3 linked regions of the Diceros bicornis minor genome follow. The protein of the gene in region 1 interacts with the protein of each later gene in a biochemical or structural test. Links are inferred from orthologs where the notes say so. Each region holds a gene or a part of one and is shown in the gene's direction. Other genes may lie near its edges. The genes, in order: MSN, SPN and ICAM3.

The links.
Region 2: the proteins of MSN (region 1) and SPN form a complex in vitro, tested with the Homo sapiens proteins (2 studies listed by BioGRID). The link is inferred for Diceros bicornis minor from reciprocal best matches to the Homo sapiens genes MSN and SPN.
Region 3: the proteins of MSN (region 1) and ICAM3 form a complex in vitro, tested with the Homo sapiens proteins (2 studies listed by BioGRID). The link is inferred for Diceros bicornis minor from reciprocal best matches to the Homo sapiens genes MSN and ICAM3.

The regions. Positions count from the first base shown.
Region 1 is NC_080781.1:59,305,918-59,316,555, forward strand, and holds the start of MSN (moesin), read left to right. Parts: upstream 1-6,280; 5' UTR 6,281-6,460; coding exon 6,461-6,472; intron 6,473-10,638. UniProt on the Homo sapiens protein: Ezrin-radixin-moesin (ERM) family protein that connects the actin cytoskeleton to the plasma membrane and thereby regulates the structure and function of specific domains of the cell cortex.
Region 2 is NC_080765.1:21,570,597-21,581,080, forward strand, and holds SPN (leukosialin), read left to right. Parts: upstream 1-6,935; 5' UTR 6,936-7,020; intron 7,021-7,404; 5' UTR 7,405-7,420; coding exon 7,421-8,653; 3' UTR 8,654-8,660; downstream 8,661-10,484. Other genes in the region: QPRT (nicotinate-nucleotide pyrophosphorylase [carboxylating]), read left to right, coding at 9,196-9,349. UniProt on the Homo sapiens protein: Predominant cell surface sialoprotein of leukocytes which regulates multiple T-cell functions, including T-cell activation, proliferation, differentiation, trafficking and migration.
Region 3 is NC_080769.1:8,853,495-8,864,427, forward strand, and holds the start of ICAM3 (intercellular adhesion molecule 3), read left to right. Parts: upstream 1-6,074; 5' UTR 6,075-6,344; coding exon 6,345-6,423; intron 6,424-7,013; coding exon 7,014-7,277; intron 7,278-10,092; coding exon 10,093-10,398; intron 10,399-10,730; coding exon 10,731-10,933. UniProt on the Homo sapiens protein: ICAM proteins are ligands for the leukocyte adhesion protein LFA-1 (integrin alpha-L/beta-2). ICAM3 is also a ligand for integrin alpha-D/beta-2. In association with integrin alpha-L/beta-2, contributes to apoptotic neutrophil phagocytosis by macrophages.

The DNA.
Region 1 (10,638 bases):
TAGCAGCCACAACTCACTGCTAACATTTATGGAGTTTATTATGAAGTAAAATCTCAGAGGTCTTTTTACCCATGCTGCTTCTAAGTCACATCTTTCTCATATTTTCCTTATGAGGTTGATTATTCGGACTCAAGCACAATCTTTACATTCGTTCTACTTTTAAGCTTTACCATCATTTGGGCTTGTCGTAAACTTTGGATCCAGACTTTGTTGCCCAACCTATCTACATTCTCTCTCAGGTTCTTTTTTTCCCTTCCTTCTCTTTTACCACCTCTTATTCCTCTTCTTCCTCCTCCTACTCATCTTTCCTTTTTTTTTATCATTTTATATAATTACAAAAGTAATTCAGACTTATTAAAAAAATTAAATAATATAGAAATACATATATCAAGAAGATAAATTCTCCCTTTACTCTCCTCTCTAATCCAGGTCCCCTCTCCAGAGATAACAACTGGTATCAATTTGTTGTGAATCTTTCCCCTTTTCTGGGGACTTACAAACATGTATAAAGACATGACATTTTAATTCATAAATGGTATCACACTATTCATATTGTTCTGTGACTTCATAGTAAATTTAAAAAATGCTTTTCACGGTAGTTAATGCTTTTAAAAGGCTGAACAGCATCCCGTTGTATGGATATACCATAATGTATATAATCAAACCCCTTATGATAGATGTTTAGGTTATTTCCCTTAATTATTATAGTATTGCAGTGAATGTCCTTGTAAATGCCTCTTTGTGCACAGTAGAGTGTTTCCCTAAGGTAGCCTGGTAGCAGAGCTGGCACACAAACACACACAAACACACACACACACACACACACACACACACAGAAAGAGATAGAGAGGAAAAGAGTGAGAGTGAGTCGTGAGTAGGGGGAGAAGGAGTAACGAGATAGGAATAGGAGGCTCTGTTCCATTGGTCTTGTCTCCTAACTGGAAAACTTGAGGCAGTGTAAGAGGGAACTTGAGCCCTTAGAGAATTGGACATAATACAAGTTGATAGACCTGCAGGGCTTGGCATGAGAATGGCAGATCCCTCTCTTCCTCTGGTCTAGCTGAACCACCTGTCCTGAGCTCCAAAGATATGCCTGGAAGTGTGCTGGGCTCCTTCTGCCTGGAACACAAAGTGTGATCCCTTTCCAGGAGCAACTACAGCTCAGCCTGGAATGGAGGAAAAGAAAAAAAAGGAGCAGTTGACAAGACAAAGCAGGATGTGGGAGGGAGGCCAGATGAGCACTGCAGACCTCGGGCACTACAGGAGCTGGGGAGAGGCAGAGAGCAAAGGAGGGCAGGAGAGATCAAGAGAGGGCTTTGTGCAGAGACAAGAGCGAGCACGCCGTGCCATGTGCATGTGGTGAGAGTAGCCTGGCTCAAGGGGAAGGGCTGTGCCGAGGAGCTGTGGGAGGAAGAGAAGGCTGTAAAGGTTAAGTGTGTGTGTTGGGCACAGGGGGTCACTTGATAACTCTGAGTGCAGGTGAAGGCTGCATTTCTGAAGATCACTGTAGTGCCCGTGTGGAGGGTGGCCATGTGGAGGATGGCCTGGGTGGGGCAGCCCGGAGGTAGGGAGACCAGGGAGAGTTGGTGAAGGCTGACCTAGGGCACTGGCAGTGGAGAGGGGAGGGAGAGAAGCTGTGAGGGACAGACAGAGAGCAGGGCTTGGTGACCAGATCACAGGGGTCAGGCAGAGGAGAGTTAAAGATGATGATGTTGTGCACACAAAGGACGGTGCTAACAGCAAAATCACCTACAGATATAGAGCTATTGGGAAGGAGAGCTCCTGGGGAGGCAGAGGGTGAGCACCCCTTGCAGAGCCTCACATAGTACCGGGCACCTAGCAGGCGCCTGGTCACCGTGGGAGGCACGGGTGGGGTGGACAGATGGATAGTTTCCTTCTAGGTGTATTGAGTTTGAACTGTGGGTCGTTCATGAAGGGGCCATATGCTCAGTGGGCTGTTTTCTCTCTGGGCCCTGCAGGCAGACTGGCCACATATGTGTAGTCTCTGGTCACTGGTTGCTGGTTACTGGGGGCAGGGCTGGGAGACCCTTTCTGCAGGGCTAATTTCATATTCCAAGAGGACACTGGCTCAAATTGAATTGATATTGGCTGTCTGGGGGAAGCTCTTGAAAAGCTTTCAGCCTTATTAGAGGAAAAGCCAGAGAGGAAACACTCTTCTCTCTCACTGTGCTCCATTAGTATGATTAATAATAAATATTCCCAGGTACTTGATATTGGCAAGACACTGTATCACTGCTGTTTGTTATTACGCACCCGCTATTTTGAGCTGTCTATTCTGACCACTGAGATGCAGGGGTGATACGAATCTTAAAAGGCATCTCCTTCCTCGGGTTTGTCTGGTCATGGCTCGGAACTGAGAAGCTCACAGGTCAGGTTGGTGGAAAGAAGGTAGACTTTGGACTCACAAGACCTGGGCCCAAATCCCTGTTTCACCACCACCAAACCATGTGACTTTTGGATAAGTCACTTGACTCCTCAGAGCCTCAATTTCCTCATTTCTACCTCTAATGGTTCTTGTTAGATATTGAAATGGCCTCTCCACTGCTCAGCACATAAGTGCTTCATTACTGTTATCTTCTCCTCTTTCACCCAAACCCTAGCTTTTGTTTCCAAGAAGAGGGTGGAAGATTGAGGACGGCTAAAAGCAAGATTTCTCTACTGCTTCAGTTTGTACTCTTAGTCATATTTTACCAAGAATACCTCTTCCCTTTGAGGAGACATCACTATATTCTTCTGCCTATTTTCTTGTTTGTGTAAAGGGTACAGCTAGTCTAGTGTTTGGCCTACTGACCCAGGGGAAAGAAGAGAGAGAGAAGGCCTCAGAGTGTGTGGCCTCAAGCTACTGTTTGTCCTCATCTCTCTGACACATTTCTCTTCTATGAATAGAGGAGAAGAGTAACCTCAGAGGTTTAGTTAATTCCTTTCTCAAGCATCAGCCAAGAGCAATTGTGCTGAGTGAAGCAAAAGAGATCTAATTTAGATGTAAAGAAGGACTTTCTAATAGTGATGAAAATGAAAAGCAGCCCTCAGAAAAGTTCTGAATGATGGGGAACTTTCAACTGCTACCATCCAATGGATTGAGGTGAGGGTGCTTTTTTATCCAAAGCAACCCTGGGATTCAGGATGGTTCCCTACTTAGTTCTTCTCTGGTATTGCCTCTCCTGCACTATTGTGTCCTCTGAAGAAGGAATGACATTTAGACTGCAGAAGCTTCTTTATTGCAGTGAGCTTAGATCTTGGGTGGGAGGTGATTAGAAGTCCAATCTCATTTCTCTCTTGAGCTTGGTGTAGGCTTTCACATTAATCAGCTTTATGCAGTTGTTGCTTGCCATTCCCTTGACTTTGACATCAAGACTTACTTCAGCTCCAGAACAGTCCAAGCCCCCTAGGGATCCTGAGCCTTTCCACCTGGACCCCATGTCTGACCCTAAAGCCCAGGTCAAATCTTCTCCTTTTGCATTTATTACTCCCTGATTTAGATGCTCCTAGCTTCATTGGATTCCAGCTCCAGAACACCCCTGTACCACTCTCTGCTCATACTGGCCCTCACCTAGCTTTACTGCTTGAAAAATACTTGCCTGTTCCTCCTTGAACTTTCCAAATTCAGCTCTTCTAAAAACACAGGTGTCTTCATACCTTTTACTTCCCTCACCCAGGGTGCCAACATGTGTGGGAATGCTTAGCCCTTATTCCCATGTCTTCCCTGTCCAAACACTGGCATAAACCTCATCATATGAAAACCTAATTGTGGGGATCACTCTGGCCCCAGTAAGATTGAGCTAACTCTCATGGGATCAGGGTAGGGGGTCGGGGGAGATCAGAAGTTCTGACCATATAGGCATGAAGTGTTTTACAAAGAGGTAGGAAACAAAGGAGTGTTTTGTCAGCCATCTTGAAGAACAAGAGAGCACCTCAGCTGCCTCTGTTCTGCTCTGGAGACAGGTGAATAATTGAGATGGGTCCATCTTAGTCAGGGGGTTTCAAGTCTAACCTTCGAGCAATGTCCAGCAGCTTGACCATAATCACCATAACCAGCTTCCGTCTGCTGAAGTGGGGGAGGGGGCACTACTCCCCTTGTTCTAGCCTGCAAAATGTTTTGCTTGTATTATCACAACAGTTTAACTGAGCTCTTTGTCTTCTCTATTACCCCCTGAATCCATTCCCCACACTGGTTGCCAGGTCTTGGGTAAGTCCTTTGCTCTTTTTGATCCTCAGTTCCCTTGACTTGAATGGGGGCTGGATTAAGCTATCTCTCATAGTCTATGCTTTCCACCCATTTCCCACTCTTCTCCTCCCTAGGGGGGCAAAACCATCCTCTCCCAGCCTGTCTTTCCATCAACTTCCTTAGCTTCCCCACCCTCTAACCTCCCTTTCCCCACTTGGACTCCTGTGCCACTTTTCCCTTTGAATAGTGTATTCATCTACTTGTCACTCCCTAATCAGCTCTCTTGTATATTTGTTGCGGGGGGTGGTATTGGCATGGGCACGTGGGAATGACATACAGGGGGTTTCCACTTTCCAGAATAAATAATGAAAGCTGGAGTCTCTAATTAACTTTCCTTCCCCCTGTAGGCATTTAGCCTAGTTCCAGGCCCCTGTGGGCTCTAGGAGAACATGAATGAGGAAATCAGTGAGTTCTTTGAACTTCTGGGAGAAAAGGACCATAGCAATGTCAAGGAATGTGATTGGTTGGCATTGCTACCCCTGCTGCTGAGGCTTTTTGAGGAGTGCTGCTCTTCCTTGAGTCAACCACTCAGCTCAGGGAAATGATTTGGGCAGGCACCCTCGTTTACCCTAGCACACATCAATGAGGCTTGGCAGCAGTGAGAGAAACTGAGGCACATTGACTCATGGACACTGTCGAGCTGGGAAAGCAGAGGAGCACGGAATAGGGCTGCTGATTCCTGAGTGCAAATGCAAGGCCAGGCTTTATGCAACCCTGCTAGACTCATCTATTGTCTTAGCGAGTCTACTTCCTTTCTTGTCCTTTTATAATGTCAGAGTGGGAAAGAACCTTGGAAGCCCAGGAGTCCAGCCCTTTCTTGTTACAGAACAGGAAACTCAAGCCCAGAAAGGGGAAGGGACTTACCAAGGCCACATAGTGGTCACAGGGTGAGTTAATGACAAAGCTATGGTGATCAGAAGCCAGGTGTGTTGATCACCCCTCTCTAATATCATTTCCACTGCCCCAAGTTGGCTCATCATCCCTGAGGTATGTGGCACTCCACCTCACAAAGGATGCTCAGACCATGCCTCTACACAGCTGCTAGTGGATAGGAGAAAAAAACGACTATGGCCAGTCACTTTCAAACTAAAACTCAGACTTAAAAGATAACTGCTACGGTCTAGAACACTGCTGCTCTGTAATTCTGCGACCTTGACAAGAAGTAGAAAGGACGCTGGCAGACACATCCCAAGGGAGTGGACTGGGGGTGCATCTAACCTGGGGGAATTATAGCCTTATCAAAAAGTGAATCACAGAAAATCAGTGAATGTGTTGGGGGAGAGGCTAAAGAATCAGGGCATTAATTTGAAGAAGGTGGAGACTGAGATTTGAAGGAAGGAAAGTGACTAGAGTACAGATATGGGGAAAAGGAGCCCAATTCTGATGAAAGTAAGGATTGAGCATGATGGGGAGGAAATATGGTGGGAAAAGGGATATAGAGTCCTACAGAAGTGAGTGGATGAAATGTTGGAGGAGCTGAGGCAGTTGAGCCAAGAGAAGAAAAGTTTCAGGTGGACATGGGATCTTCAGACCTCTGAGAAGTTGTTAGGGACAGCAGGGGATTTGTGTGGCTCCGGGAGCAGAGCTGAGATCCACAGGCGGAAGCCACAGAGAAAAGGAGTTCAGATACACACGGGAAGAACTTTCTAAGAGTCTTGAGCGGGAACACGCAGTTATAATAGGTAGTGAGCTCACCATCAGCGGAAAGTTGCAGTCTGGGACTGCTTAAGCCTCTGCCAGAGTGCGGCCCAGGGTCCGGCCCTGCTTGGGAGGGGGACCGGATGGCCAGGAGGGCTAGGGTCTGTGAAGGGGGTGCGAGGTCAGGGTGGGCCTGGGTCGGGGGTGGGAGCTCCCTTGGGGCGCCCAAGCCCACTCTGGTCCCTAGGCGGCTGATGTGGCCTGGCTCAGCTGGGCTGGGCGGGACTAGGCGGGGCGAGGCTGGCAGCGGACAAGAAGGCGGGCGCGAGGGCGGGGAGCAGCGCCTAAGTCCCGTCACATAAAGGAGAGGGTGGCGCGACGGGGGCGGTTCTTTCCTGGGTGGAGTTTGTGAAGTCGTGGCCCGTTAGCAGGAAGCCGAGCAGTCGCACCGACGCTAGCGAGGGACCTAATCCGAATCCCCAGTCCCCGGAGTCCAAGCCGTGTGTACTGCGTGCTCAGCGCTGCCCTGACAGCGCCCAGCCAAACTTCGCCAACTCCACCGCCTTTGCCGCCACCATGCCCAAGACAGTGAGTGCTGGGGGTGGGTGCTGCTGGGCCCGGGGGTTCTAGCAGACCCTTGTAGCCCATGGCTGACGGTTGGGGGTTTGCCCAGTCACCCGCCCGCTCGGGACGCCGCGCCCTCCGCCAAGGCCTGGTGTGGGTAGGGGCGGGAGTGGAGTACTGGTCTGGCGCGCCTTCGTGGGTAAGGGGGTCCCGGGCTAGAAGTGTGGACGGAGCGGGGACGGCCTCTTTCTCAGATTCCAGTTCCGTGCGTCTGGGATGACACAATAGGGAAGGCTTGCTTGGGAGCCCGAGGTCTCTTCTTGCCCCTGACGGGCCATGGGCACAGGGGAGAGGACTCTGGTCCGGAGAACACTTCCTCCAGTCCAGGAATTGGCGCCTTTCTGGGGCAAGGCTGTCACTGTCCAGGAGGGGCCACGGGGACCAAGAAGCACGGAGGAGGGAGGGAGCTGCTCAGGGCGGGTCCCGCACCCCCACTCACCTTTCCTACAGCCTCCTCAGGCGGCTCCAGCTGTTTCTCACTAGGAGGGGAGGAGAAAGTTGTGGAGGGACTCATCGAAGCTGCTTGCTTTAACCAAGGAGCTCTAACATTTCACTAGACATGAGACTGAGTAGAGGTCTGCCCTACTTCCTAGGGGAGAAGACTAGTTTCTTCCTCCTCTCCTTTCGCCAAATCCCTGCCCTTCCCATTTCTTAATGGCTCTCTGTCTCCTCCTATCCCCTCCGGACTGTTGTGTGATATGTGGATTCTCTCCTGTGGGGCCACACCTTTCCAGAGTGGTGGTAGCTTCTAGGATTGGTCTCCACCCCACTGGCTGTTATGAGAAGAGCAGAAGCCTCCTGGGAGTAGTGCCTAGTGGGGCCGGATGCCCAGGAGGGAGGGACGGGGGAGGGGTGTGCCTGAATAATGAGCCCTGCTTGCTTTTGTGCAAGTCATGCCAAATGGCCGCTGGGGCCCTTCCCTTGCTCAGGAAGGCCTGGTGACCCCCCTGGCTTGAGTCCCTTAGGCCAAGCAGCTTGTTGCACTGGCCTAGGCTATGCAGTGCTCCCGGACCCCTCTCCCTAGTCTGAGATAGTGACTAGTAGCCTTGAGAATGGCTGAGGGTCCTTGGAGGAGAGAAGGAGTAGGGGGCCCAGTTCTTTGGGTGTGTGCTGAGCTTTGGTTGCCACGTTGCTGTATTCCACCCTTACTGCCAAGTCATTCTTGCCTTTCCAGAACCTCGTCCTTCAGAAACACCAAGTTTTCAACAAGTATGTGCTTCTACCATCTCTTAAATTGCTCACAGTTTTATGATGTGGGGCTTTTCCACACTTGTCCCTCCCTCCCACACACACAAACTGAGAGAATGGTTTTGAAAAGAGAGGGGAAAAAAAACCCCACTGTCTCTGCCAACACAGAGGATTATAAAGATCCTTCCAGGAGCCTCTCTTTGGGTTTATCTCCCTGTGGTTGACTCCTTGACTCCTCTTAAGGTGTGGCTTTGCCTAAATAGGTGGGTGGATCTCTGAAAACAGACTCTGCCCCATGACCTCTCTTCTCTAATGGCATCTTTCATTCTCAATTCTGAGATACCTCACATTTCAACGCAACTTGATGGGCCTGGAAATTGTTCCAAAGTTGCCTTAACCATCCCATTTCAGTGAAAAGTGGCAAAGACGAAAGCATGATGATCTTTTTCCTGGGTATGGAGACAGAATGGAGTATGAGCTGTTTGAAGTCAGACCTAGGGTATTAAAGGTACCTGAATACTGAAAGTATTTTTATGCAGATTGACTGAAGTATGAATCAAATTGGAAGGCAAGGGCTGAATTTTGATAGACTGGAAACTTTGGAGAATTTTCCATGATATTTGGCTCAAGGAATGGTCAACTTTTAGGATAAATAACTATATTATGCCTGTTAGGAGCATAGAATCTTAACCTGAAAGAGACCTCAGAGACTCTCTAGTACAACTCTTTTTTTTGTTTTTTTAACTAGTGGGGATATTTAGGCCTATAGGAAAGGACCTACCTAAGGGCACATGAGGACAGAACCAAGACTTGGGTCCAGGCTTTTTGGTACTCATCCCATTGACCCTCTATTCTGATTCAATGATTGGGTTCATGAAGTTGAGTCCCCTCTCTTGCCCAAAGCAAATTACACCCTGTTCTCAGAGCTTCCTGGTCATCAGATAAAAGAAAGTGGATAATTTGGGCAAAGTAACCAACATTGGCATTTGTGTGGTCTCCTGGTGAGAGTTGAGGGTATTACAAGGTGTCTCCTCTTACTTTTTTCATTCCTTAGGCATCCAGGGGCACACCCTAGTTCACTGCATACCAATTAGTAACTTTGATGGAGGGAGAAAATTCCTTTAGTCTCTTCTCCTTTTTTCGCTAGTGTGCTTTAGGCTATTTCTGTAGTATGACAGATAGGAAAGAGTAGTGGAAGAAGCAAATGTGTTCGTTCATATGAACCATGTCTACAGTCTATCCAGGGTTGGTTTCACTTTTATAGCCAATTGTCTCCCTTAGTCAGCCCAGCCTCCCTTAAATCTGTTAAAATATGCCCCTCTGCACCCCTCCCCACCAATTCTTGGATTTTGCTTCTAGTTGCCAGTTTCCTGAGTCTGTTTTAGTAGCCAGAATGGAGAAGCTTATTAACTGCCATCTACACTTTCTGGTGATGGTAAGACAGTTGTAAAAAAAAATCTTTCCCCGTCCCCATCCTTTTTAACTTTTTTTAGATCACAAAGTCTTTGGTACTCTCTTGGATTCCCTAAAAAGAGATTGTTTTGAATTTTCAAGGTGTTCTTGAGTTTTTGGTTTGTATAGATGAAGAAACTGAGACCCACAAAGTGGGAGGGACTGACCTAGAATGATGCAGTATGTCAGTAGCAAAGCTAGGACTTGAATCTAGGTCTTAGCTAGAGGGTCAGTCTTGGTAAAACTTCTTCAATTTGATAGGGTTTTAGCCCTAGCTCAACAGGTCAGGGGAAAGGTGATCAAGTGGTCATTGATGGGACTATCCATGTGAGCAGATATAGAGCCCAGCTTCTTGAAATATTTGCAAGTTTCTGGGTCTTCATTCAGCTAAACTTTATAACAAGGGTTGTGTGGACTGTTTATTTTCCTGCCATTCCTAGCGTTGCTTGTGCCACTCGAGTGGCACTAAATTGGTACTTGGTGAATAGGAGGCAGAATCTCAAGTCTTTTAACCCTTGAACCAGCCCTGCCACAGACTTCAGGGTGGGGCAAGGGATCAGGAATGGAGGTTATGTGAGAGAGGGTGACTTTTTGATCCTGCATCTCTTCACTTTGGTTCTCCAGTTCACTCAGCTCTTTGTGAAAGTGTACATAATAGAAACAGAGCGGAAACCATCTTGGGGATTTCCTTTAAGTTTCTCCTTGAATAGTCCTTTGTGCAGAGATAGGCTGGTGGGGCAGGAGGGCCTTCGTGGGATCCTTGAATGCACCAACTAATCTATGTATCTCTCATGTTAGGCTTGGAGAGAGGAAAGTTGCTCTGTTGAGTGGGTGGCAGAGGTGGTATTGACCCCTAGTCTGCTCTCCATTATTCTCTAGCTGCCTGTAACAATAGCTTGTTTTAAGAGTGTTCCCCCTTTTCTCTCTCTTCCTCCTCTCAGGAGACTGCTTTATTGAATGATGGAACTAGAAGAGACAGTTAGAGGTGATCTGGTCTGTCTCCCTGCCTTTAAATCCAATTCTCTCTGGATGAGATGAGATGACAGCTACATTTATTCTGAACTCTGATCTCATAGTGTTGCTTGGCAACAGTCTGTCTGGGTCCCTTTGTATCTTCCTCAGAGTCCCCCTCACTAGAATTTCTAGACTCAAGGTCCTCAGAGGGGAGAAGATCTGGCTACCAATACTACAAGTGTTACGCCTTTCGTGGTTAGAGTGGCTGAAAATTGGCATCATTAGAGGTTGGGAACAGTCTGTTTCTGATCTTTCAAAGATAGAACTGAGTTTATCATGTGCTATTTGTACTATCATGTATATTTCTCAACTCACAATCTTTTTTCCCTGCTACCTCACCCTACTCTTCTGCCCCCAAAGAAAAAACATAGTACAAAGGTGGTCTCCTTTGGAGCAGTCTATTGGTCAAGTGAAGGAGGTAGTCTTGTCATGATTGACTGGCTTTGCTGTTCATCCCTCCTCCCATTTCACACTTG
Region 2 (10,484 bases), on another chromosome or scaffold:
GAGACACAGGAAGGTTTCATTTGTTGCCCAGGGTTACGCATTCAGTGACTGAGCCTGGGGCTGGCCCCGGAAGTCTGGCGCCAGAGCCTCTTCCCTTAACTACCGTGCGGCTAGCTGCGCCTGACACCGATACTGAACATGACCATAGAGAGCTATTATTTAAAGTAACAAAAACAACTTTAGTTTTAGTTTACAATGGGCTTAAAAAGAGGGAAGTTGCTGACCTGGGAGGTGGGATGGGGCCAGTGGGTCAAATGCTCTTCTATTAGAGCTGGAGCCGAGTAGCTTATGGCAGGCAAAATGAACACATCAAAAAATAGCAGAATTAACATCTTGTTTAGGAATATGGACTCACCAGAAGAAGTGAAACTAGAATAAGTTAAAAGAATTAAAAGTGGTTCCCTTCCTGGGCCATGACTTGGGAGGGAGAGGGGAGGAGTACTACCGTGCATGATAAGCCCTCTGTGCTCATAATATGCATTACTTTGATAAAAATTAAGAAAAAAATTATGTTCAGTGAATAAATTAGTACATAAACATCTCTCTGACTAGATGGAAATTTCCCCAGAGGACAGGGCTGCCCGCCTTGTCGGTGCTGTTCCTCGAGAGGGTTGTGGATGAGAAGAAAGGGCCCTAGGCCCTGAAGCCAGTCCAATCCTGTAGCCCTGGGTTCTGACCTGGAGGATCAGAATGAGACTTAACAACTCGTCTCTTATTACATCAGCTATTACTTATTAGGCTCTTACTAAGGGCCCCACACTATCTAATTTAATCCTCCAAGAACTTTGAAAGTAGTATTATTATCCTTATTTTACAGATGAAGAAACTGAGGCAGAGAGATGAAATGACTGAGCCAAGGCCACTCAGACAGTAGGTGATGCAGCTCAGGTGGCCCTGACCCCTCTTCTGTGGCTTCCCTGGGCTGGGGCCTAGGGGCAGGGAGGGGCAGGCCCCCTTCCGCCAGCTCTTGTGTGCTTTGGTGTCTGCAGGAAACAGCCCCTCAAAGACCTGCAGGAGGTCAGAGCTGCAAGTCCAAACCCTGGTGGGGAGCAGGCCTGGAGGGAAGAAATACCTTCACAGAACACAAGTTGGTTGCATCACTACTGAGCATGCACACCTCTGATGACCTCTGATGACCCCCGATGACCCCCTGGAGGTCTGTGGGCTGGGTGGCGCCCTCAGAGCTCGGGCACACCCACTGCTCACAGCCTCCCACCCCCGCCTCGCCCCTCTCAGGCCTCCTTGCCTTCACTGGTGCTGGCAGTTCTTCAGCCTGATGCCCTCTTCCTTCTCTCAGCCAGAGAACCTCTGTTGAGCCAATAAACATCACTGAGCGCCTACTGTGCACCAAGCACAGCAGCCAGCAGACACACACGCATGTGCTCAGGGAGCTTACGTTCCAGTGGGGGCAGAAAGACAAAACAAGAATGTAAATGACACGGTATATGAGAAAGTGGGAAGTGCTGTGGAGAGAAAGCAGGGCTGGGGGATGGGGCGTGCAGGCCAGGAGGACGAGGCACAATTTTAAATATGGTGGCCAGGCAAAGCCATACTGAGCAGGTAATCATTTGAGGGGACCACAGACTGCACGGAGGCCCCCAAGGCTTGTATTCTACAGCGACAAAGTGGAGGCCTGGGTGGCAGGAGCAAAGGGAATGAGGGCAGGAGAGGGAGGGAGAGTCAGATGGGGTGTGGCTTTATCGGCCATTGTGAGGACTTGGGCTCTTACCCTGAGTGGGGTGCGAGCTGTCTCAGGGTTCAGAGCAGAGGAGGGATAGGTCGGACATTTGATCCAGGCTCCTCTGACTGCTCTGTGAAAAAGATCCCGAAGGAGGAGAGGTCACACAGAGGGGAAGTGGTGCACATTCCAGGTGAGGAAAGACGAGGCTTGGGCCAGAGGGGCAGCAGTGAAGGTGGAGAAGAGTAGTCAGGTTCTGGATCTTTCTATCTTTTAGTATGTGGTTTTATTTTGAAAAGTTCAAACACAGAAAAGTTGCAAAAATAATACAACGAACACACACAGGTTCTTTACATGGTTTCACTACCTATTTTTTTTTTCTAAATAAACATGTCCCGTTATACGCCTAAGCAAATAATAGATGGGTGGTGGAATTACATTTTCGGTATGGCATCTGGATACATCTTAAAAACTCCGTAGTTCTCAGAAGGCTGTCTGGATCCTCTTTGTTCTTGACTTTTGGGAAATATGATGACCCCATTCAGCCTTTTTGTTAATGGCTAACTAACCAGAGGCCTTTCTTTCTTCTTTTATGAGCACCTGAGAAGAGAATTAAGATTTGCAAGCCACGCATTCCTGCTTTTTCATTCCATGGTTGAGCTCTTCTCAAATATCAGGTCAGGTGCTAAATAGAGGAAAATGATGGCTCAGAAAAATGTTAAAATATATTAGGGGCTGGCCCCGTGGCTTAGCAGTTAAGTGCGCGCGCTCCGCTACTGGTGGCCCGGGGTTCAGATCCCGGGCGCGCACCGACACACCGCTTCTCCGGCCATGCTGAGGCGGCGTCCCACATACAGCAACTAGAAGGATGTGCAACTGTGATGTACAACTATCTTCTGGGGCTTTAGGGTAAAAAAGGAGGAGGATTGGCAATAGATGTTAGCTCAGGGCCGGTCTTCCTCAGCAAAAAAAAAATTAAATTAAAAAAATGTTAAAATAGATTACCAGTTTGTTATAAAAAGATACAACTCAGGAACAGCCAGATGGAAGAGATGCAGAGGGCAAGGTATGGGGCAAGGTATGCAGAGCTTCCATGCTCTCTCCACGGGCACCACTCCCCCCTCATCTCCACGTGTTCGCCAACCAGGAAGCTCCTTCACTACCTCATTTTGCCACATCTGCTTTATTTTTATCTCCTATGTTATTATTGTTATTATTATTATTATTTGTGTGGAACTATTTAAGAGGAAGTTGCTGCATTGTGCACCTTCACTCCTACATACTTCAAACATGTATTTCCTGTGGACCAGGACATTCATAAGCATAATATACTTATCAAATTCAGGAAAGTTAATGTTTTTTGTGTTTTTTTTTTGTGAGGGAGGTCAGCCCTGAGCTAACATCTGTGCTAATCCTCCTTTTTTTGCTGAGGAAGACCGGCTCTGAGCTGACATCTGTTGCCAATCTTCCTCCTTTTCTTCTTCCCCAAAGCCCCAGTAGATGGTTGTATGTCATACTTGCACATCCTTCTAGTTGCTGTATGTGGGACGCGGCCTCAGCATGGCCAGAGAAGCAGTGCGCCGGTGCGCGCCCGGGATCCGAACCTGGGCCGCCAGTAGCGGAGCACGTGCACTTAACTGCTAAGCCACCGGGCCGGCCCAGGAAAGTTAATGTTAATTCAGTACTATTGTCTACTCTACAGTCTGTATTTGAATTTTGCCAATTATCCCCATGGTGTCTTTATAGCATTTTTTTTTTCCTAACCCAAAATCTAATCCAGGATCCCATATTGTATCCAGTTGTCACATCTCTTTACTCTTTCAAGATCTGGAAGAATGTCTCAGACTTTCTTTGTCCTTCCTGACACAGACATTTTTGAAGACTACAGGCCAGGTGTTTTGTAAAACATCCCTCAATTTGGATTTGCCTCATATTTCTTAACAATTGGATTCAGGTTCTGCATTTTTTGCTAGGATTACCACAGAAGTGATGTTGTGTCCTTCTCAGTACATTATATCTGGAGCCACCTGATGTTGGTTTGCCCCATTACTGGTGATGTTAACTTTGATCACTTGGTTAAGATGGTGTCCGTTAGATTTCTCCACTGTAAAGTTGCTACTTTTCCTTGGTAATGAAAACATATCTTGTGGGGAGATACTTTAAAACTATAAAAATATCCTATTTGCACCCCCCTTGTCACCCAACTTTCACTGAATGGTTTTAACACCCATTCTTAGCTGAATCCATTATTATTATTGTGATTGTAAACTGGTCATTTTTAAACTCTACATTCCTTCTACAATTATTAGCTGGCTTTTCTATTGTAAAAGAACTTTTCCTGCTCTTCTTCCTCCTTTGCACCTCCCCTGCTTCCTCCTTCACTCTATGTCTCTCTCTAATATTTTCAGAATCAGTATGAGCTCCTAGGTTCTTTCTTTATTCAAGGTGTTAATCCAAAATGCCATTATTCGTTTTGATGCTCAAAGTCTCCCTGCTTTGGCCAGAGGGAATTCTTTTAAGCTGGTTCCTTGTCCTTTTGACAGCTTCCCATCATTCTGTGAGGACTTCCTTAATATCTGATGCAACAGATGTTCCAGCCTCATCTTGTGCTTTCCCTGCCCCAGCCTGGAATCAGCCATTTTCCAAGGAGTCCTGGTTCCTCTCCAAGGAGAGTGGAATTTAGAAGCCAAGATCTGGGTGTCAGGTGCTGGCCCCATGTTGAAGGTAGAGATAGCAGAATTTACAGACAGATTGCATGTAGGGTATAAGAGGAGAGGAGTCCCTATTCCCTTTAGCTTTTTAAGACATTGCTTCTCTGAAGTCTTTGCTAGACACTCTCTAAGGCTGAATCTAGCCCGTATTTTAGCAAGTATTCTATTATTTGAATTATTAATACACAAATATGTCTCTAAATGGAGCATAGTAATTAAATATCAGACACTGGTACTATCTGGGAGATATTTATCTTTGGCCTTGGGCCCTTACATCAACCTGGTTTTGAAGCTCATCTCTAGAACTTGCTGGTTGTCTGAGCCTTGGCAAGTCTCTTAGCTGTTTTGTTCCTCCGTTTCCTCACCTGTAAAATTAGAGTAATGAGAGGTATCTCACAGGGTTGTTCTGAAAAGTAAATGCTATTGGAATGTAAAGTGCTTGGCACTGAGTCTGGCCCATTCTGAACGCCGAGGGCAGGTAACTTAACCTCTCTGTACCTTGGCTCCTCACCTGTGAAATGGGCTTGCCGTGAGAAGCGGCTGGAATCACACACAGAGAACCTTCGGCTGTGGACCTGGTAAACGGTGAGTGTCAGTCCGTGGCTACTGCTACCAGAGTTTTCTAAGTATTGGTCTTCTGTGATGTCTTGAGGGCAACAACAGCCCCTTGTTCATACTTTCATCCTCTCTCTTTCCACTCCAGGCTCTACAGTCTGTCCGGTCAGACCCTGTTTCTTGAGTGCTTCAGGCCAGAGCCTGGACCCATCCACAGCCTCTCAGCTCTTCCCAGAGTCGGGGCCTGACAGAGAGCCTGAGGAACATACAACTCTGTCAGCAGCAATTTGGTTGAAACGACAATTTTGTCAAAAATGAATTTTGCTTCAATGATTTTTTTAAAGATTGGGAAATTGGGGACCTTTGTGCAGTCTTATGAACATTTTTGCCGATTTTCTAGAATTAGAAAAAATTGTTTTAACCTCCAATTACTTTGCAGCCAATTATTCCTACTTTTCTGTTTACAGTAGCAAATTGTTGAAACAACTTAAATATCTGACAATGGAATGGTTTCCTTTCTTCCTTTCTTTTTCTTTCTTTTGTTCAGTAAAAAAAGAAAAGTGCAGAACAGTATGTATAATAAAATCTAATATAATAAAATACATGCACGTATGCATATACCAGCCACTGTTACGGAGTGTCTCTCTGGTGGTGGAGGTATGGAGCCTTTCACTTTATACTCTCCTGACTGCTGGGAGAAGCAATGGACCACAGCCTTGAGCATCCCTGCACACTCTGGATAGTAGGCAAAGAATGCAAGGTCCTGGCCGCTCCATATCCAGGCCATTTCTCAGGGTGGTGTTTGCAGTGAGTAACTCTGAGGGATGAAGTAACGTCTCCCTTCAGGACAAACAGCAGGCTTGCTTCCCACCTGCTCGGAAGGAGGGAAAGTCCCCAAGCTCAGTGTTCCTCAGCTGTGGGATAAGCCCCTCGGTGTCACCCCTGTGGGACTTGAGGGCAGGGGGAACTAATGCAAACATAATGCTCTTACTGCTTGCTGTGCGGTGAGTAATGGATTCCTGTGTCTCTGACCCGGGGTCTCATGTCTTTGTGTCAGACTAACTCGGCTTGTGAGTGGGCACGATCCCGGGCTCCGACACTGGCTTGTTTCAATCATCCATCACATACATGTATTATTACTTTTATAATATAAAAATCAGTTTTGATTTTTTTTAAAGAAAGGCAAAAAACAAAACAAAACAAAACCAAAAAACCATACACACACCAAAAGTCAAAGCTTACAAATTAGAGGAAAGTCAGGAAAGAGCAACCATCTAGAGAAGACAATAAAGTACTCATACTTATCCAAAGAAACTTGGTTAATTCCAGACTGCTTCCATCTTTCCAGTCTGTCAGACTGGAAACTGTCTTTCCAAACTGTTTTCCATGTAGATTCCCATATCTTTATTAGTCTTCTACAAAAATAAGATCATAGTGTATGCAGTGCTTAGTTACCACCTTGAGTTAGTTATGCAGTCCACAACTGGGGGCTATTGTAGTGACCCCCAGCTCCTTGAGAAGTTGTCAAGAGCTCCTCAGGGATCACACACAGCTTGAAAAGGCTTTCACTGCCCCCAGCCAGAGTCGGGGGCTTCCTTTTGCCCTGGTACTTCCCGGGAGCTTTTGGGGCAGTGCCACCCTGGTTCCTGGCCTAACAGGTTGGGGATCACAAATGCAAAGAAACCACCTCCCCCTCCCATCTCCTCTTCCACACCCCTTAGCTCTCAAGCATACATTCCCATCACCCCCGCTCTGACCCCTATCCTTATCCCAGCCTCACCCCTTGCCATCCCATTCCCCAGCTAAGACGCAGGAATCCCCATTCTAGATCCCCCCAATCCCCACCTGCCTCAGCTGAGACCCCAGACACCCTAGCACCATCTCAGACTCCGGAAAGAGATGGTATGGCAGCTGTGGGAACAGGGCGGGTGGAGCAGGATGCTAGGGTGGGGTGGGGTGGGTGGAGCCCTGGGCCACTTCCTTTCCTCCTGGGGCCCTGTCCGCTCAGTCCCGCCCCAGCTTCAAGAGGAGTTGGAGCAACCTGGCCCCAGCCCTGTGCCCTTAACAAGTGAGCTGGTAAGTGGGTGCAACTTGGTGGGGCAGGGGCCTCTGTGGACCTGGGAACGTGCCTGTGGCCTGACAAGACCCTGATAGGTGATGGGAAAAGAGGATCAGGAGCCACTGGGGCTGAATCGGGTCAGGAAAGGCCAGAAGGCATGGCCATTGCTGGAGTCCAAGCTGTCAAGGCCTGAGCGGGGGCCATGGGATGGAATTGATGGGGGACCTGCCAGCATCTGTTCCCTTGTTATTTCTGATAACAGTAAAAGGAAGGGTGGAAAAAGCCGTTAAACCTCAAGTTAGGCCCGGCAGTTGGCAGGGAAGTGGGCAGGAGGGGAGGGCCTGGTTAGGTCCTCCCCCAGATCCTTATGTGTTCTGTTTCTCCAACTTCCCCACCCTCAGGTCCCAACTCCTACTCATGCCTGTTGCCATGAAAATGACTCTGCTTCTCCTCCTCTTTGGCGGCCTCTGGACCCAAGAGGTGAACTCTCAGACTCTGGCGAGCACAACCATGTCGCAGATGTCTGCATCCAGAAATTCCCCTATTTCTTTGGTCTCATATAACACTGAGGCCCCAAACCTCAACTCAGTGACCTCCAACCCTATAACAACAAGGGACTCAGAGAAGGGTGATGGCACCAGGTACCAGACCTCCCCACTTTCTTCAACTCCCTATACACCCAAAGAGTTGTCCATTTCCGGGACTTCCACTGCTGCCAGCAGTGGCTTCCCCGTCTCAGAAAAGGATGATGGCACCAGGTACCAGACCTCCCCACTTTCTTCAATTCCCTATACACCCAATGAGCTGTCCATTCCCGGGACTTCCATTGCTGCCAGCAGTGGCTTCCCCGTAACTGAGCCAACAACCTCCCAGGAAGTTTCCACCAAGAAGTCATCAATACTCCTGGAAACCCTTAATGAAACCACTAGCCCTGTGGTACCAACGATGAGCTCTGTGGACCTCCACATTACGACTGTTGGAACCAGGGTACCTAGCTTTCTGGAAACCTCCAGTGTGACCAGTGGACCCCCTGTCACCATGGCAACTAGCTCTCTGGAGACCTCCAAGGGAACCAGTGGACTTTCTGTTGCCATGACAACTATCTCTCTGAAGACCCCCAAGGGGACCAGTAGCTCCCCCAGCTCCGCAGTAAAAATACCCACCGGGACTACCTCAAACACCTCCACAATCGCAAACAGTGGTGAGCTCTCAAATCAGGGAACAAATGGCACCCTGCTGGTGGCTGTCCTTGCAGCCCTGCTGGTGGTCATTGTCCTCTTGATACTACTTGTGCTGTGGCGCAGGAGGCAGAAGCGGAGGACCGGGATCCTGATGCTAAGCAGGGGTGGAAAGTGCAATGGGGCAGTAGATGCCTGGGCTGGGCCAGTCCAGGAGAATGATGAGGAGGCCATGACAGCAACAACGAGAGTGTCTGGGGGCGACAAGAGCTCTGGGGTCCCTGAAGGGGAGGGGTCTGGCCGGCGGCCCACACTCACCACTTTCTTCGGTAGAAAGAAGTCTCACGAGGGCTCCTTGGCACTGGAGGAGCTAAAGCCTGGGTCAGCCTCCAGCCTAAAGGGAGAGGAAGAGCCACTGGTCGGCAGCGAAGATGGGGCTGTGGAGGTCCCCGATTCTGTGGGCCAAAAGTGAGAGATGTGGAGGCCCCTTAGCGCTTGTGAATAACAAGACTGGAGATCAGAATCATTTTTAGCTTTCATCACCTTCCCTCCTATCATCACTTCCAGCCCCATTGTCACCCAGCATCCTTTGGATTTTCACCCAGCATCTTCACTCCGAATCCTCATCCAGCTTCTTAACCTTGGATCTTCCGGCCAGCATCTGCACCCAGCATCTAGGCCAGGGCCTGCACCCACTTAACACTTGTAGACTGAATGCATAAGCCTTCCTCATCAACCCTTACTTCTCCCAATCACCTCTTTCTCCATGTTTTTGTCCTTGAAACCAGCTACTGGCTCTCCATAATGCCAAACTTCCTTGACCTATGAGTTCTCAGAGGATTCCCCAGCGATACCAGAGTCTGGGAAGAAGGAAATGACAACCCAGCACATTCTTCCCTAGGATTACTCTGGAAAGTACATTTGGACTCATAGATTAGGACAGTCCTACTGGGTCAGCCCATGAGCCTCCTTTAACTCTGGGCCCCAGTGCTCTGTGCCAGGCCAGCCTGGAGCATGGGCTGGGTGGCGTCACCTCGCTGTGCTCTCAGGTGTGCCTGTGACAGTACCTGGACTCTAGGCTTGCCTGTGGGCCAGGCCACTGAACTCTCCCCCACCTCCGGACTGAGGCAGCCAGAGGCTTCAGCTATTTCTCCTCCCAAGGGCAGAGGTAAGAGGAGTTTCCGAGCAGGTGCAGTTCTCAGAAGCCCCAGCACCTATGTGGGTCCATTCACGGGTGCGGTTTGTGAAGGGTGGTGGTGAGTACAGACGGCGTGAGGGGGGCAGGCAGGAAGGGCTGCAGAGGCTGAGGAGATGCCAACCTGAGGAACCGCTGAGAACGTGTGTGCCCTCATCTTTGCTCAGCTGGGGTGGAGGCAGTAGAAGATCAAACTCTGTCTGCAGCCCAATAAAGAACGCCGGCTTGATAGAAAGACTGCATGTGTGACCCGAGTGTGGCTCTTCAGCTCAGCAGATGTGTCCCTTCCTCAAACCTCTGCCACTCCAACACGAGGCAGGGGGAGAGGAGACCCAATAGCAGGGTCTTGCTGATGCTGTGACATGTTTAATTTGTTTGTCTGTATCTCCTCTTCCGTTCTCCAAGGGGAATCAATGAGAGTGAGCTAAATGAGGAGTAGTGACAGGCCTGTAGAACCAGGGGCTTCCCCTGTGGCTCTGGGATGGACAGGAGGGGACAAGACCCACCTGCGCTGTCTCTGAGTCCTGCCCAGACCAGAGCCCAGGGGGCCACACGGGCCACCGGCAGTTGGTATTTCCCCAGGGGAAAGGAAATTTGCAAAGAGGAAGTCGTTGAGTCAGAGGTTGCAGTGGCCGAGAGCAGACAGACTGACCTACAAAAAGACAAGCTGATGGGAACCGCAGGAGTGTGACTGCCATGTGGCCTGGACTGGCGGGGAGGCAGGAGATAGGGAAAGGGCTCTAGTGGGTCAGTTCATGGTGGGGATGAGGGGGAGAAGAGGCGGAAAGTGGTCATGGATCCACCCGGCCGCCATGGAGTTGTGCCACCTGTGCCTGGTCCATGGGGACAGGCAGAGCTAGGGCGAAAGTCCACCCCTCGCCAGTCAGGATGGGCACCCACAGGGCCACGTCTGGGCGCCTTTGCCGCCTCCTCACAAGATGCAGTCTGGGCTAACTGTAGCCCCAGCACAGCAGAAGTGAGCTCCAAAGGTCCCTTAGGGATACCGCAACTGTCTTAGATCTGTCAAACCAAGGGCCCCAATTTCAGGTTTAGAAAACATTGTCACTGATCTGAGGCCTTCAGCTTCCCCCCTCCCCCTCACTGGACA
Region 3 (10,933 bases), on another chromosome or scaffold:
CAAGCGGTGCGCCAGTGCACACCCGGGATCCGAACCTGCGAACCCTGGCCCACCGCAGCGGAGCGCAAGCACTTAACAGCTGCGCCACCGTGCCAGCCCCAAGGCTCACCTCCTAATACCATCACATCGGGCATTAGGATTTCAAGCTGCGAATTTTTTTTTATTGAGGTCACATTGGTTTATAACATATAAATTTCAGGTGTACATCGTTATGTTTCGACTTCTGTATAGACTGCGTTGTGCTCACCCCCAAAAGTCTAGTTGTGTCTGTCACCATACACGCGTGCCCCTTTACCCTTTCTGCCCTCCCTCGCCTCCATGTATGACTTTTGAGGGGATGCAGCTTCCGTCATCATGAGCCTGACACAGGCCCCTAAGGGACCCAGGACAGGCAAGGAGCCCTTGGATCCCATCTTTTTGCCTTACCTGGCCCATCCCCTCAGGGCTCACCGTTTCCATCAGCTGGCCATAAGCTCATACAGTCAGGCGCCGCATAACGACGTTCCAGTGAATGAGCAGACCGCATATACGACGGTGATCCCATGGAGCCTAGCTGTGGAGTAGGCTGTACCATCTGAGTTTGTGTAAGGACACCCTATGACGTTCACACAACGATGGCAGCACCTAATGATGCATGTCTCGCTGTCACTAAGTGACCCATGACTCTGTTCTGCTGCTGAAGGCTGTGGTCCTTGCCGCTTCTTCAGTGAGTGTCTGCTCACCTGGGGCCCACAGCTGGAGCAAGACAATGCAGAAGGATCCAGATTCAACAATTAAACATTTGCTCATCTCTAAATGACCAGCTAGCAATTAGACCAGCACGTAGAACACAGAAGGTGCCAAATAACCAGTCGTTAAATATACCAACAAAAGATTTGGGGGGCCGTGTGCCGTGTAGATAAGCCAGCCAATTTCACTCTTTCCCCGCTGTGTGACCTCAGGCAAGTGGCATCCCCTCTCTGGGCCTCAGTTCTCAACTGTGAACTGGGGACGGTCATCTTGCTACCTCGCAGGACTCATGGAAAGAACTAATGAGGTCATTTATGTCAAATGCTTAGCAGACAGACATGCAAACAATTGCTTAATAAACATTTGATATTATTGTTAATCTGGTGTTTGCTGAAGTGTTTCTCCTTACCAGTTGTACTAGAGACGGGCTATGTGTTAGCCATGTTGTGAAAGGCACGGGCTATGTGTTAGCCGTGTTGTGAAAGGCAGTTAAATAATTTCCTTTTTCATAAGCCTTCTCGAAATCTTGCTCATTGCCAGCTCTCCTGACCAGACAGTTCCACACTATTCTAGTGACATTTGCTTTTTATAACAGTTTTCAAAATTAAATATTCATTATAATTATAAATCTTTGTTTTGTTTTGTTTTGTTTTTTGCTGAGGAAGATTGGCCCTGGGCTAACATCTGTCCCCATCTTCGTCTACTTTATATGTGGACGCCTGCCACAGCATGGCTCGATAAGCGGTGTGTGGGTCTGTGCCCAGGATCCGAACCTGCAAACACCAGGCCACTGAAGCAGAGCACATGAGGTTAACCACTATGCCACCAGGCCGGCCTCAATCCTCCTCTTTTTTTGCTTGAGGAAGATTAGCCCTGAGCTAACGTCTGTACCAATCTTCCTCTATTTTGTATATGGGACGCCACCACAACATGGCTGACAAGTAGGTCTGGCCCCGGGATCCAAACCCCAGAACCCAGGCCGCCGAAGCAGAGGGTACTGAACTTAACCACTAGGCCACGAGGCTGGCCCATGGATACATATTATTGACTTAGGCAGTGAAAGTCTCTCGCTGTGCATCAGCCACTACTGTCGCCTCTGGTTTCCTGTTTTTGTTTCCAGAGACATTTTACCCAGATAAAAGGAAATCTGTACACATTATACTTTCCCATCTTTTGCAAAAATAGTAACATGTCCTACTATATAGAGCTCTCATCTATATCCTTGTGATTTATTTTTTCCATGTAATAGGTCTTGGAGATGGTCCCACATATCCAGGCAAACAGTTTTCTTGTTCTATTTTATGATTTCATTGTAGTCATCGCTGACGTGTTATCTGCCTTTATTCCCCGCTGGGGTTCCTGTTGTCATTTCTAATCCTTTGCCAGGCCCAGGATGGTGCTGTAGTGAGTAACCACATGCGGACATCATTTCACCCACGTTCAAGGGTATCTGTAGGACAAATTCTTAACAGGAGGGGCCGGCCCTGTGGCTTAGAGGTTAAGTGCGTGCGCTCCGCTGCTGGCGGCCCAGGTTCGGATCCTGGGTGCGCACCGACGCGCCGCTTCTCCGGCCATGCTGAGGCCGCGTCCCACATACAGCAACTAGAAGGATGTGCAGCTATGACATGCAACTATCTACTGGGGCTTTGGGGGAAAAAAAAAAAAGGAGGAGGATTGGCAATAGATGTTAGCTCAGAGCCGGTCTTCCTCAGCAAAAAGAGGAGGATTAGCACGGATGTTAGCTCAGGGCTGATCTTCCTCATAAAAAAAAAAAAATTCTCAATGGGAATGGCATTTAGGATCTTGTCTGGTAACCGGGAAAATACACTGCCCCTAGAATATGTTTTGATATTTGATAAGGCAGTTCTCTCTCTCTCTCTTTTTTTTCCCCAAAGTTATCTTGGCTTACCCTTGTGCAGCTACTTTTTATTTATTTATTTATTTATTTTGTGAGGAAGATCAGCCGTGAGCTAACATCCATGCTAATCCTCCTCTTTTTGCTGAGGAAGACTGGCCTGGGCTAACATCTATTGCCAATCCTCCTCCTTTTTCTCCCTTTTTCCTCTCTAAAGCCCCAGTAGATAGTTGTATGTCATAGCTGCACATCCTTCTAGTTGCTGTATGTGGGACGTGGCCTCAGCATGGCCGGAGAAGCGGTGCGTTGGTGCGCGCCCGGGATCCGAACCCGGGCCGCTAGCAGCGGAGCGCGCGCACTTAACCGCTAAGCCATGGGGCCGGCCTCAATTACGGACAATTTAAAGCATATACAAAAGAAGGGAAAATAATGTAATGAACCTGTGCTTACCCAACAGGCGGCATCAAGTTTGCAACACCCGTGGCCAGTCTTGTTTCAACTCTCCCCCACCCCCGCCCCGCCACGAGGTCATTTTGAAGCAAATCTCAGATATATCATTTTGTCAAAACTTCCATCAGTATCTCGAAAAGATGTAACCACAAACAGTAACTACAAAATCATGACCGCCCACAGAAAGTTGAATGATAATTCCTCAACATCATCGTGCAGCCTCAGTTTCAATTTCCCCAATTGTCTCTTAAATATTTGGTGTGTGTTTGTTTAGAGTTTGTTCAAAGAAATATCCAGGTCCGGCCTGTGGCTTAGCGGTTAAGTGCGCGTGCTCTGCTACTGGCGGCCCGGGTTCGGATCCCGGGCGTGCACCGACGCACCGCTTCTCCAGCCATGCTGAGGCGGCGTCCCACATACAGCAACTAGAAGGATGTGCAACTATGACATACAACTATCTACTGGGGCTTTGGGGAAAAAAAAGGAGGAGGATTGGCAATAGATGTTAGCTCAGGGCCAGTCTTCCTCAGCAAAAAGAGGAGGATTGGCATGGATGTTAGCTCACGGCTGATCTTCCTCACAAAAAAAAAAAAAGAAAGAAATATCCAGACGATCCACGCACTGCATTTGGCGGAGGGCGGGTTCCTTTAAGTTCTGGATTCGTCTTCCTCTTTTTTTTCCTCCTTGCAACATCCTTGTTGAAGAAACTAGGTTGTTTGTTCCATAGACTTTTCCGCTGTGGCGTCATCTTTGTGGTCGACTTGAATGCATTCCTCTGTCCTCACCTTGACCCACCAATGGTCAAGTTCAATTTCCATTTTTTGGCAAGACTCACAGAGGGCACTGTGCCCTCTCCGCAGGAGACACTCAGGGTCAGCTTGTCCCTCCTGTTGTGACATGAACAGCCACCCAGATCCATCAGGGATGCATTTTATTTTCCAACATTTTACTCTGAAAAATTGCCAACATATAGAAAAGTTGGGAGAATAGTACAGCAAACATCTCTAAATTCCACCATCACCCAGTTGCTAAATTTACCTTATTATGCGGTATCTGTCATTTCTCTGCCATCCATCAATCCATCTCATATTTTGGATACAAATCAAAATAGGTGGATGTCATTTTTTTCCTGTGGTGAAATATACATAATATACATTTTACCATTTTGACTATTTTTAAGTGTATGATTCAGTGGCATTAAAAACATTCACAATGTGTGTAATCAATACTATTATTTACAGAACTTTTTCATCTTCCCAAACAAAAATTTGTCCCCACTGGACACTAACTTCTCATTCCCCTCTCCTCTCAGCCCCTGGTAACAACTGTCTACTTTCTCTAGGAATTTGCTATTCTAGTGTCTTCATTTGAGTAGAATATTTGTCCTTTTGTGTCTGGCTTATTTCGCTGAGCATGATGTTCTCAAGGTTCATCCATGTTGTAGCACGTGTCAGAATTTCATTTCTTTTTAAGGGTGAATGGATGGACCACTTTTTTTCTGTTGTTTTTTTTTTTGACAGCAGCCATCCTAATAGGTGTGAAGAGCGATCTCACGTGGTCTTAATTTGCATTTTCCTAATGGCTATGTTACCGCACAAAATTGGGGTCCTCTTGCCCGAAGCACATCAAGAGGCAATTACTGAGGCATCAGCTTTGGGAAAAAGACACCAGCTTTATTGCTAGGTTGATCTGCAAGGAGACAGGGGCCTGTGTTCTCAGATCTGTCTCCCCAATCCAGGGCTTGGGGCACAATTCATGGGATGAAGGGCGGGGCTGTCTGAAGCGCAGAGATAGATGGTTGGAGGAGAGCAGAGGTGAGGTAACTGATGATCTGCGCAAGCGCGGTCAAGCTCCGTGGCTCTTCATGTTCACAAAATAGTGGCGGTAGCATGATCTGAGCGTGGAGTTTTCAGCCCTTGGACGTCAAAAGGGTCACCTATGGGTCATCCTTGCAAGCCCAGTTGATGAGCTGGTGGTCTTCACCAGCCTGAACTGCACAAGGGGTCTCAGGTCCTGAAAAACCACTCTCAATTACTCTTGATGAGATGGGGTCAGTTGAACTGGTCCTGGAGGGCCTGTGGTTACAGCTAGTGAGGTTGAGCATCTTTTCGTGTGTTTATTGGCCATTTGTACAGCTTCCTTGGAGACATGTCTATTCGAGTCCTTTGTTCGTTTTTGAATCGGGTTGTTTTGTTGTTATTGACTTGTAAGAATTTCTTTATAATCTGGATATAAGCCTTTATCAGATATATTATTTACAAATACTTTGGATTTGGGTTTTAGTTGCTCTCTCAGCACCGTGCAGGAAATGGACTGGGGGGCCAGGCAGTTGACTGGAGGGGGGAGGTGCCCCAGGTGAGGCAGGAGGGGGCGTGGCCTCAGGGATGGGGAGAGTGGATGAACGCCGGGTGTTATCGACGCCCTCCACAAGGTCCCTCTCTGGAGCTCAGATCAGAGGCACAGGAGGCGGGTCAGAGGCCTGAGAGATGGAAGTGGGAGTGCCCACCTGACCCCCCAGTCCCTTCTCTTGGGATGAAAGGACCAGCTGCCCAGAGGGGAAGGCAAGGGAGGATGAGACAGGGGACAGGGCCAGTTACAAGTAGCATCCTTGACAGACAGTGGTTCAGATTTCAGCTGTCTCCCTGCCTCAGCACTGCACACGGGGCATGGGCGGCCCCAAGATCTTCAAAGGGAAAGGGCCTACAGGAGCCACTCAGGTGGTCAACACAGAGCTGGGCACCCAGTAAATGTGGGCGCTGTTCATTTTCATGGCTTCCCTCATCTTACGGGTCCCTCATTATCATCCCCAGATCTCTTAATTGCCCCCCAGGAATGTTGAGATCTCATGCTAACCCCTTGAGGCCCTACCTAGAAGTCCCTTCATTTCCCCCTGAAATGTTGCCTTGAAATCTCATCTTATCACCTCCAGGACAGTGCTTGGAGGTCCCCCATAAGTTCAGCTGGAAGGAGGTGTCTCATCTCCCTCCACGGCCCCCCCAGGCTTCGTAGTTCTGAGAACAAAGGAAGTTGATTGTGTTCCACTTCCTGTGAGTTCATTTCTGGACCAGCAGTGTAACTGACGTCTGCCCTGCCAGAGACTCACCAGCACCCTCCACCTTGCTGGGCCCTACCTAGGTCCCCCACTCTGGACCCCCGGGGTCACAGAGTATCCCCCTGCCCCTCCCCAGGCCTGAGCAAGGGGCAGCCCCTGGACTTCTGCAATCCTCACCACTGTGGCTGCACTTCCGTCCCCTGGGCGGCTCCGCCTGTTCCCTGCTGCCAGACGCCTTCCTCCCGCAGGCTGGCTACTGTGATGCCCTCAGGGCGACTGCCTGGGGCCTGCTGGATGTCGCTCGTCTTCCTGCTTCTCATCGGCTGTCTGCTGCCCGCAGGTGAGGAGAGTCAAGCTGGGGAAGGCTGGAGTCGGGAGGTCAGTAGAGAGAGGGTAAGAGAACAGAGAAAGCAAAGCTCTCCACTTCCTGTGCCCTGGCCATCTCGAGGACTTCCTGAAACTCAGATCCGACAGGGGCTCGAGAGAAAGTTGTGTCTCCTTAACGCAGCCTCCAGGGCTCCCCGAGGCGCCATCCCTGCATGTAACTTGTTCCCTACCCCCAACACACACACACACACACACACACTCTCCCAGCTCCATGTAGCCCCTCGATGTGTGCCTATGCTCTTCCCTCTGCCAAGACCTTGCTTCCCTTTCATTTAGCTAACGCCTACTTATCCTTCAAAACTGGCCATGGTCGTCCCCTCCTCCAGGAAGCCTTCCCTGACTCACTCCCTCCTGTAGTTTGGATCAGGGTTTCCTTGGCCTTCCTCCAAACTCTCCCCAGTTCCTGATCCATCATCCGTCTTCCCCACTAGACTAACGCACCCTGAAGGCGGGGACCATTATACCTGGGCATGAGGTGGGACCTGAGGATGGGGGGTTGGGGGGCACCAGAACAATCACGAGAGTTTCTGTCTCTTCCCGCAGGTGTCCATGGGCAGTACTCACTGCGATTTGAGCCCCAGGACCTAGTGGTACCTGATGGAGGGTCCATCTCGGTAAACTGTAGTACAGATTGTCCCCATCCTCAATCCTTCCATCTGGAGACCTTCTTACCCAAGAAGTCGCTGGGTCAGGGCTCGCGCTGGGCAGCCTTCCAGCTCAGCAATGTAACCAATGACAGCCAGATCCTCTGCTCCAGCTTCTGCTACAGCTTCCAGCTGTCAACCTCTTCTAACATCACAGTGTACCGTGAGTGGACGTGCCTGGAGGGAGGAATGGCCTTGGGTGGTGGCGGGGGGGTGGGTAGATGGCCAGTGGTGCAGGGGGAGCAGAGGCCTGGAGTTTGCAGGAATGGACCAGGGCTCTGACCCAGAGCCTGGACCTGGATATGTGTGTGTGTGTGTGACAGACAGAGGTAGAGACAGAGACACAGAGAGATACACCTCAACTGTATGTCAGGCCAGCAGCTGTGACATCAATTTATTTGGGTCCTAGCAAGCATTTTTAAAATGACATCTCTTGGGCCGGCCCTGTGGCTTAGTGGTTAAGTGCGCGCGCTCCGCTACTGGCGGCCCGGGCTCGGATCCCGGGCGCGCACCGACGCACCGCTTCTCCGGCCGTGCTGAGGCCGCGTCCCACATACAGCAACTAGAAGGATGTGCAGCTATGACATACAACTATCTGCTGGTGCTTTGGGGGAAAAAAAAGGAGGAGGATTGGCAATAGATGTTAGCTCAGAGCCGGTCTTCCTCAGCAAAAAGAGGAGGATTAGCATGGATGTTAGCTCAGGGCTGATCTCCCTCACACACACACACACAAAAATGACATCTCGCATCTTCTAGTTATTACTTTTACTTTTATGGCAGGTAATCAATTCATGTGGTTCCAAAATCAAAACAGCATAAAAAGCTGTAAATTTCAAGCCTCCATTTGTATAGCGCTGGCTGCCAGCAGCTGCTGTTTTATTTTTCTTCGTGAGGAAGATTAGCCCTGAGCTAACATCTGCCAATCCTCCCCGTCTATTCTTGAGGAACACTGACCCTGGGCTAAACCATCCATGCCCATCTTCCTCCCCTTCATACAGGAGGCCGCCTCAGCGTGGCCTAACAAGCTGTGCGTCGGTGCACGCCCGGGATCCGAACCCCGGCTGCCAGCAGCGGAGCGAGTGCACTTAACTGCTACGCCATGGGGCTGGCCCCTGTGGCTACTGTTTTAAATGTTGACTTATTCACTCCTTACAACAGCCCCGGGGTGGGGAGGTTCTCTTATGAGCCTCATTGCAGATATGGAGACCGAGGCTCGGGGGGTCAAGTCACGTGCCAGCGCTCACAGCCCACGAGCAGAGCAGCTGGCAGTCTGGTTCGCAAATCCCTGTCTGTAACAGGCTAGGTCTTCCTCTCCAGACTCTGCGTCCCCCTGTTACTGGTTTCTTATGGATCCTTCCAGACTTCCTCTGCATTTAAAAGAATACAACAGGGCCGCCCCGTGGCTTAGCGGTTAGGTGCGCGCGCTCCGCTGCTGGCGGCCCGGGTTCGGAACCCCGGGCGCGCACCGACGCACCACTTCTCCCGCCATGCTGAGGCCGCGTCCCACATACAGCAACTAGAAGGATGTGCAGCTGTGACACAACTATCTACTGGGGCTTTGGGGGAAAAAGAAGAGGAGGATTGGCAATAGATGTTAGCTCAGAGCTGGTCTTCCTCAGCAAAAAGAGGAGGATTAGCACGGATGTTAGCTCAGGGCTGAGCTTCCTCACACACACACACAAAAAAAACACATTAAAAGAATACAATAGACTAGGAAATAGCAGAGAACACGGTGCCTACTGTTTTGGGAAGCCTTGAGATTAAGTGTAGTGTACGTGTGTAATCGCGTAGGCTCCTGTGTGTGCGCTGGTATATTTGTGCTTGTGTACTTACGTGTGTGTCCGCGAGTGTATGTGTCTGTGTGAGTGTACGTGTGTCTGTATATGTGTTGTGTCTGTATGTTTGTGTGTGCCTGTGTTTGTATCTGTGAATGCCTATGAACTTATGTGTGTGTCTGTGTGAGTTACTGTGTCAATATCTGTGTCTGTGTATGAGCATATGTGGATGTCTGTGTCAGTACGTGTCTATGTATGTCTTTGTATCCGTGTGTATTTCTTTGTAACGTGTACATCTGCCTGTGTGTACCTGCGTGTCTATGTGTGTGTCTGTGTGTCCCTGTCTCTGCGTGTCTGAGATGCCTCTGTCTGTGCTCTGCGGGAGCCTGTTGGTCCTGGCTCATAAGACCCCACTGTGCTTATCTATTCCCAACTCCGTGTCACACTGGGTAGCTTGAAATCCGCCAGAGTGGGAGTATTTCCATGGGAGAAATTGGCAGATGCTCCAGGTCAGGGCTCCCCTGCTCCACCCTGAGAGCCCAGGCATGATCAGCATACCACTAGCCCTGACGAGTGGTACCCCAGGTTAGCGGAGTCCAGGCCAGAAGCTGGGAGGAGGGGCCAGAGGAGTCCCTAGACGTGACATCAAGGAGGCAAGTGGACACATGAGTCTGGAGTTTGTGAGACCCAGATTTTAACCCTAGTTCTGCTCCTTCCTGGCTGTGCATCCTTGGGCAAACCACCTCCCCTCTCTGGGCTCAGTTTCTCCATCTGTAAAAGGGAAGGATGATAGAGGAGATTTCACTGGGCTGCTGTGTGAATGAAGGTGGATGACATCTGGAAAGTTTAAGAAAAGCTCTCAATACACAGGAATTTTGATGATTACTATTAACCTCATAAAGGAGTCATAAACGTTACCTCCTCTTCCTTTTTTTTTTTTTTTTTCTTAACTGTGAGGTTCTGGGGAACAGAACATCTGACTTTTATTTCAGTGCCTGGCAAGGTGTCTGACAAAACAGGAAATAATCATGATCCTAAGGACAATAGCAAACACTTATCCTGGCAGGGACTTAAGCCCTCTGGGTTTATTAATTCAAAGTTCACAGTTCCACGCTGGGCAGGCCACCCTCGGCTCCTCTCCACTCCCTAGGGTGGGGGCTGCAGGGCTGGCTGGTAAGTGCTATTCTTCCCCCCCCACCATAGGGTTCCCTGATCGCGTGGAGCTGGCCCCCCTGCCCCCCTGGCAGCCCGTGGGCGAGAACCTCACGCTGAGCTGCCAGGTGGCGGGCGGGGCGCCCCGCGCCAGCCTCACGGTGGTGCTGCTCCGCGGGGAGGAGGAGCTGAGCCGGCAGCCGGCCGTGGGGGAGGCCACCCAGGTCAACGCCACCGTGCTGGCCCGCAGAGAGGACCACGGCGCCAATTTCTCGTGCCGCACCGAACTGGACCTGCGGCCCCGAGGGCTGGGACTGTTCCAGAACAGCTCGGCCCCCAGGCAGCTCCGAACCTTCGGTGAGGGAAGGGACTGCAGACAATGGGTATGAGCTGAGCCAGAAAAGGGGTGCCTTGGCCGCGGGGTTCCTGAGAATAGAGTGGCTCGGACCTCAAAGCTTCTGGGAAAACATGCCCTTGGCCACTGGGCGGGGTCACCTCAGACGGGAGGCCCGCGGCCGCGCGGGAACCTTTGAGAAGGCTGTGAGTGTGTCCTGGGAAGGGGGTGACTCAGGCCGCAAGGTATCCTGGGAAAGAAGGACCCTGGTTGGGGGCAATGAGTGTGTCATGGAGAAAGGGGCATCTACGGCTGTATGAGACCTCCTCCTGCTCAGGCCCACCCTTCTCCCCAGCCCTGCCCATGAGGCCCCCGCGCCTCGATGTCCCCAGGTTTTTGGTGGGAACGTCGTGCCAGGCGAACTGCACGCTGGACGGGTTGTTCCCGGCCTCCGAGGCCCAGGTCGAACTGGCGCTGGGGGACCAGACGCTGAATCACACAGTCGAGAGACGCAAGGACAGTATCACAGCCACAGCCACATCCACATGGAGCGCAGAG